Oryzias latipes: one gene and its partner. The protein of the gene in region 1 interacts with the protein of each later gene in a biochemical or structural test. Links are inferred from orthologs where the notes say so. Each region holds a gene or a part of one and is shown on either strand. Other genes may lie near its edges.

What was found. The genes of interacting proteins can lie anywhere in the genome.
Region 2: the proteins of myod1 (region 1) and csrp3 form a complex in vitro, tested with the Homo sapiens proteins (2 studies listed by BioGRID and IntAct, with this or other methods). The link is inferred for Oryzias latipes from reciprocal best matches to the Homo sapiens genes MYOD1 and CSRP3.

Annotation. Positions count from the first base shown.
Region 1 is NC_019864.2:6,432,738-6,436,439, reverse strand, and holds the start of myod1 (myoblast determination protein 1), read left to right. Parts: upstream 1-890; 5' UTR 891-1,093; coding exon 1,094-1,681; intron 1,682-2,365; coding exon 2,366-2,447; intron 2,448-3,649; coding exon 3,650-3,702. UniProt on the Homo sapiens protein: Acts as a transcriptional activator that promotes transcription of muscle-specific target genes and plays a role in muscle differentiation. Together with MYF5 and MYOG, co-occupies muscle-specific gene promoter core region during myogenesis.
Region 2 is NC_019861.2:6,163,219-6,166,971, reverse strand, and holds the start of csrp3 (cysteine and glycine-rich protein 3), read left to right. Parts: upstream 1-1,107; 5' UTR 1,108-1,222; intron 1,223-3,753. UniProt on the Homo sapiens protein: Positive regulator of myogenesis. Acts as a cofactor for myogenic bHLH transcription factors such as MYOD1, and probably MYOG and MYF6.

The DNA of each region.
Region 1 (3,702 bases):
CATTGCCAGCTTTTCACACATTTCTTGCTGCTCATTAAATGTTCTGCTGACAGTCTTTTCTTTCAGTGCAAACATTTCATTTGTCTCTGACATTCTGAATTGCCTCATTTTTCCTACTTACAATGAAAACAAAAAAAAGAGTGGTGTGTGCGCATGTGAAGGTGCGTTCCAGAGCGCGCTCCACGCAGTTTCATGAACACTCATTCGGTGTACAGACCGGACGGACCAGCGCCAGACACGCAGGTACCTGCAGGGGCGGTTCTTCTTTTCATCAGCGCTCCTCCGCCACCTACAATATATTTATTGTAATTAAATCAACTTATTGGAAGAGGTTCGATCTGCAAAATCAAAGCGGTTCAATTCCCTCAAATCTTGCTCCAGCCTTTTTGTTTTCACAGATCTGTTCCTATAAATGTCCATCTTGGTGTCATTTTATTCCGGCCAAAAACAAACCGCAATTATTCATTTCTCCTTAGTGATCATGTTTACAACGGTTGATAACTGTTTCTTGAAAAGACGCTACAAACACTATCAAATCCTAATTTCTGATTGGTCACAGCGCTGCGTTGCTGAGATTCAGCGTGAAAAAGTTCAACCGGTTGAACTTTCAGCGCGCGACCAACGAACGCTTGATTTGTTTGTAGGCTCCGCACCCAACTTAAAAACCTGCTGGTGATGTGCGACCGCTAGCCTTCCAGACGCCACAGCCCCAAATTCTGGTGTGTGCGCATTCAAAGAGGCGCTTGAACACGGGTGTGTAAGGCGGAAATGCGTGTGCGGCCTTCCTTTAGCTGTTCCGTTAACTGCAGGCCTCTAATTACCGTGCAGTTGTAACCCCTCCACTTACACACACGCACACCCCTGCAGCTGCCCACCGATTGGTCACACTCCTCTGACCCCTTGGCCCCCCTGCCTGCTGCTGATGTGCCAGGTATAAGAGGCTTCAGGTCAGCAGTAGTCCAGTTCAAAACTCCTGACAGGACCCACATTACCGGACCCGCGGATCGCGAGTCTCTCTTCGGTTTGCTGGATAGCTCGGCTCGGCCCGTTGATCTCAGTATTTCTTTTCTGCGGGCCTGTTTTGGACCGGGTCATGGAGCTGTCGGATATTCCTTTCCCCATCCCGGCTGCTGATGATTTCTATGATGACCCCTGTTTTAACACAAGTGACATGCACTTCTTCGAGGACCTAGACCCACGGCTAGTCCATGGCGGTCTGCTGAAGCCGGATGACTCCTCTTCTTCCCCCTCATCCTCTCCTTGCTCGTCCTCCTCCTCCCCGTCCTCCGTCCTCCATGTGCACCAGCGCGCGGAGGTGGAGGACGATGAGCACGTCCGTGCGCCCAGTGGCCACCACCAGGCGGGCCGCTGCCTGCTGTGGGCCTGCAAAGCCTGCAAGCGGAAAACCACCAACGCAGACAGACGCAAGGCAGCGACGCTGCGCGAGCGCCGGCGCCTCAGCAAGGTCAATGACGCCTTCGAAACGCTGAAGCGCTGCACGTCAGCCAACCCCAACCAGAGGCTGCCCAAGGTGGAGATCCTGCGCAACGCCATCAGCTACATCGAGTCCCTGCAGGCGCTGCTGCGCGCCGGCCAGGAGGATGGCTTCTACCCGGTGTTGGAGCACTACAGCGGGGACTCGGACGCGTCCAGCCCCCGCTCCAACTGCTCTGACGGAATGGTGAGTCCGCTGTTCGGACAAGCTGCGAAGGCTGGAGCTACAGCGCGTCTTTACGCATGGAGTCTTGACTTAGTTAGTCGTTTCATGACGGCACAAGTTTTTACAAAACTTCAGTAAAAAAGAAAAGAAAAAGGAAAGGCAACTTTCACCGTTTTAGATTCGATTATACAGGCGCGTTACTCAGTTAATTCAGAGGATTACCAGTTACTACCTCTCCCGAAAATAAGATTTTTAAACGTAAAACCTTTTCTTTTTTTTTTTTAATCGTGAAAATCTTTTTTACGTATTTCTTGAATAGACTGACAGCGTCGTTTGGAGCAGTTCGCTGCTTGAATAAAAATCGGTTATAATTTGCACCAAACATCCGGATTTATTCAAACGAATTTCCTTCATAAAACATACGAGTCCCGTCATTAGGATTTCTATTATTTGACAAATTTCCTTTTATAACGCGTGCGAAACACTCAGGAAGATGAAATAATAATATTGTTGCTGCTGTTTTGTGCTTGTTTGTTCAAAGAAAGCCCATATATATATATATATATATTCCAGTTTAAAAATACACGAGTGTTTACTATCGGAAAATATCCCTTGTGTTGATATTTCAAAAATGTGACATTGTGTAAATTGTGTTTTATTTACTCTTTTGGCGTGCTCTAAAAAAAGCATTGTGTTTTATTCCAGACTGACTTTAATGGACCGAGGTGTCAGACGACGCAAAAGGGGAGTTATGACGGCGGCTCCTACTTCTCCGAGGCTCTGAACGGTGAGCTGCGCGCGGGCCAGAGGGGGCCGCGTCACGCGCCAACATTTTACACAGGAAAGATCCGATTTGCGCTTTAACCAGCCGACAGCATTGCTCATCTGAAATGATAAAGCGTTTGCAATCTAACTAAATCTGTTCATGAAGCCAAAGATGTGCTTTTATTTTTGCTAAATAAATTTAGTTTTCATGAGGTTAAAGAAAACAATGACATTCTCTATAAATTCTATAAATGAGAAAAAGGATATATATATAGATATATATCTATATCTATATTTACAGCTGAGCAAGTATGTCAGAGCTGAAGGCCTCTTGTGTTGGACAAATTTTACTTTTACAACAGGACTTTATGGATCTTTAGACAAACACAATTTATTTAGGGGTTAATATCCTTCAAAGGGTGCATTATTAACGCTTGCCGTGTAAGCCTGCGTTGAACTGCAAAGTGCATTAAAAATATGAACACTTTGAAGTAAATCTACTCACTTATACCATGGTGACTTTCAAAATAAATAAATAGTCAACCAGTACTTTATTCTGGTCATTTTTACGGTTTAGATTGCTTTTTCACAAAAGCGAACTATTTGTCATGCGGTGCAGCCTGTTGTCACAGTAACATGCCACTTAGCCAACCTCGAGTGGTGCGGCAAAGGAAAGTGATATCTATGCTGATGATCACGATGGGTTGAATAAAGCATCAGTTCAGAGAGAAAGTTCTCCTGTCACTGATCATTTTTGTCCAGATGATGAAGCTAAAGATTCTGATACAGAACATTTAAGATATGTGACCGGAACTGCTTTTTAGATGTACATTAACACATTTTTATCCACACCCAGCAGCCAATCAGAATCGAGTATTTCCCTGGACAATGGTATCAATTGGTGTAAACCCCTTATGTATTTGAGGTTAGGCTTTATTCATAATAATTATGTTTATATGCATTCTTTGTTGGACCGGACGGAAAACAAGAAGAGAGAGAGTGGATGTTAGAGATGGGGGGTGGGGGAGCAGTGGATAATACAGAGTCAAGAGTGTCATAAGTAAACTGCATGACTTGGTTCTCACACACACACACACACACCCACACACACACACACCAATAAATAGTCTGCACACAGCTGTTTACAGGTTTTATTCACACATAGAGGAGTGACCTCACAGTCTAGTTTGAATCATGTTTGACTGACGGTGTTTTCTGCCGTAGGAGGCCACAGGAATGACCGCAGCTCCGTCGTCTCCAGTCTGGACTGCCTGTCC
Region 2 (3,753 bases), on another chromosome or scaffold:
CTTATACAGTCAAGGGTGTAAACAGACCAATAAGGTAGCCACAATGAGCAAAGCTGCAGTTTCACTCTAAAAATGTCTAAAAGTTGTTGTTTTTTATTGCTACAAAAGTCCACTGTATTCTATAGATTGACAGTTAATTTAATGACCATCCATCTATTTTCCAAATTCCCTGAAGCCCTTTCGGGTCACAGGCTGCTGGAGCCTTTTCCAGTTAATGTTGGGTGAAAGCGAGGTAAACTACAGACAGGTAGTCAGTCTGTTGCAAGTCACACATTCACATTCACACTCAAAACCTGTAGAGGGAGGTGAACGTCAGTGTTGCTCAGCAACAGCCACGAAACATCACAGCTCTAGAGAAGATCTGCATGGAGGAATGGACCAAAATTGCAGTTACAGAATAAACTCAGTGAAGACCTACAGGAAACCTTTGACCTCTGTCATTAACAACCAGGGTAACAATACAAAGTATTGAAAAGAACTTGTATTGACCAAATACTTCTTTTCAAATCCATTCAATGGGATTTCCTAGATTCGTTTTAAACATTCTGTCTCTCATAGTTGTGTTTCCATGATGAACATTATAGACCTCTTATCTTTTAAGGTTAAATAACTTGCTGAATCTATGTTTCTCATTAAGAATTCAATTTTTTTCTCCCTAAATTTTTGAATTCCACTTTTTTATCCCAATGTATCATTTGGATGTGTACAAGAAGGTTTTTTATAGGAAAACGTAAAAAAGCAAAGTTCACTTTTAGTTTAAAACGTTTCTCTACAAAGTCTAGAAAAGTTTTGTAGACTCACAGGTGTGACAGTCAAAAACAAAACCATTTCTGTTCTAGAACAGTAAATAAGAGGATGCCTGGAGGAGAATACTTTCCACAAACTCAGCAGCAGTTTTTGATTCCTGTAAAACAGTGTTTCTTTAGGCTTGCAGCACAGTCTATGTTTATACCATGATACTGTGGCATTCAGGGCAGATGGCCTTTGAGCCACAGTTATCAAGTCAGAGCTCCCAGCATGGGTCAGTGAATGCAGCACAAATGCTCCAGTGGCTGATGTTCAAGCCTTATTCAGATAGGGATAAAGGGTCAGGGGGGCCTCCTCTCCGTCACATGTTATTTTGAGAGGATAGTTTCATCAAGGCGTTGCCAGAGTGCTGCTGATGTGAAGACGGTATTTAAACCTCTCTGTCATAAGCAAAGCACTCTGACAGAGACTACAGGTAAGGCGCATGTCTCTTTCTCTTCAAGCTTATCTTTTAGAAGCATATTGCAGTCCATTGGAAATAGCACGCTCAATTTAAGTTTTCTCTTCATAATGACAACAATTTCCTGATTTTTGACTTTTCTGCTTCATGTAAAAACCAAGATTACAGTTCATTTTCAGTTGAGGTCTATCTTTGTCCCTGATAAAACCACAGGATTTGCTGACTTACCATTCATTGTATGATGTCAAAATGATGATTTTATTTTGAAATGCACTTTTCCAGCCCTGTGACGTGTCAGATACCTCTGATAGGAGGTGAGAGCCCAAAAACCAGACGAGAAGCCTCAGTTCAGCAACGTGGCTCTTTCAGGTTTCACAAAAGTCTATGGATAACTGATGATGCGTCAAAACTTAATATAAATATTGTGGCTTAAATGGGAAAAACATTTTGAAAATTACATAAAACCACGGAACTAAAGAAAGCAGTTTTTTTTACTTAGAGAATAATTAGTTATGATCTCCTTTTGACTACTTTTGTTAAGTCTAAACTAAAGCATCAATCCATCCATTTGTCTAACCTGCTTAATACCATGGGGTTGCTGGAACCTATCCCTGCTACTGTTGGCGAAGCAGGGTACATCCTGAACAAGTCCCCAGTCTGTCTCAGGGCCAAAGTAAAACATACAGAATATATTTTAAAAAACTAAGACTAAAAACACTTTTAATGATTAGGGAATAAATAATTAAAAAATGTGAAAAGTCAGAAAAACAATGACGGAGAAACAAAGCAGATTGATGGCAGCAACTTAGAAACATCTTCCCTCAGTTACGTATTTAAGGCGGTTACAGCTTTTAGGGATGACTTCAGAATGGCCCATTTCTCCTTCGCTCAGTATTTTTTTCTCCCTGTATTGTTAAGACAGAAAATTCCTGGTTTCTGGCTGAACTCAGGTCCTCAGTGACCTGAGTTCAGCCAGGTGAGGGTGGGAGCTGACTGAGCAGTTCTTTTGGAGCTCTCTGACTTTAGTCACGACTGCCCTTACGGGTGGATACAGGCTGTCTGCCAGCGAAAAATGGGTGAACCTGTGCGGGGCATGCAGGTGCCCTGCACAAAATTTTAAGATTGTTGACCACTTGGACTACTCGGTCAGCATGGTTTTTTTCTACGGGCATGATATAGGTGACATTTCACTTCCCCCTTCCAGCAAGGAAGGGGGAAGTAGGTGAGATGCAGGCATGTACGATTTTTCATTAGTTGAACCATCCAAATCCTGCTCGGCCCACGAGGAGCACATTAGTGCTGTCCACGTGAGAAGTGCATGCAGCCTAAATTGTAGAATTGAGGAAATTAGACAAAGTGTGGTTTGTAAGCATTCCACTGGCTTCCTATGGGCCGTTAGGTATTATCTGCACACCCCGTGCCTGCAGCATTTGCATGAGTCGGTAGGGGTCCAGGTACTCCCACCTTACTAATGATTAGAGTTTGGCGTAAGGACATCGTACAACAGCATCACCCTAAAGGCCTGTTCACACCGGGACGAATTTCGCCGGCGATTTTCGCCGACGTTTAACGCCTCGTGACTAACAAAGGGCACCAATGAGAGTGTGCACACCGACGGGAAAAAACGCCACGCGCCAAAGCGTCAAAAAAAAAAACGCCTCGGGTTCGTTTTTTTTTTTCGACGCGTCGAAATCTATTCGACCAATGAGAATGGCGCTTTTGCACACGTGTCTGGAGCTTCTGAAGTTACAGTAAAACACAACTTGGGGGCGCTCAAACACAAAACTGCCTTGCTGAGCACACATACCAGCGAAGAAGATAGACGCCAAGTAGCGTCTACACTGCCGCAAAGAAATAATGACGGATATTCTTAAATATCCCCTTACCAAGTACCAGTTGGAGCTACTGGTGCTTGAAATATTCATGTTTTCTTTGTATTATTCTGACAAGCGCGTAAATACTTGCTCTCTTCTTCTGAGTGAAAAGCGACTTTAAGAATCGTAAAGTTGCGCAGCGCCACCTTGTGTACAGGAGTATTTCTGTTTACATTAAGCGCCATCTAATGTCAGGGAATGAAATTGCATGTTCGCTCGGCTCACCGTCAGCGAAAATCGCCTGGGTGTGAACACAAAAAACGTGGCGAAAAACGCTGGCGAATAACGCCTGGCGAATATTCGTCCCGGTGTGTACGGGCCTTAACTTTGGTGCAATTTACATTATCCTTATGAAACTTCACGATACGCCTACCACACACACACAATCGGACAATACATTTTTATGACTTCCCTTGAGGTGGGTGTATGACACACCCGCACTCCCTTTCAGATGCAGCCGTACCTCCCTACGACCCTCTATGTCTCAGATAGAGATGGTTTGGACACGTTGAGAGGAGGGACAATGGTGATGTTGGGAAAAGGATGCTGAGCACAGAGAGGAAGACCAAAGAGGAGGTTCATGGATGTAGAGAACAGGAGGACATGGGGGTGGTTGGTGTAAACGAGGACAATGCAGAGGAGAGGATTAGATTTAGGCAGAGGATTCAATGT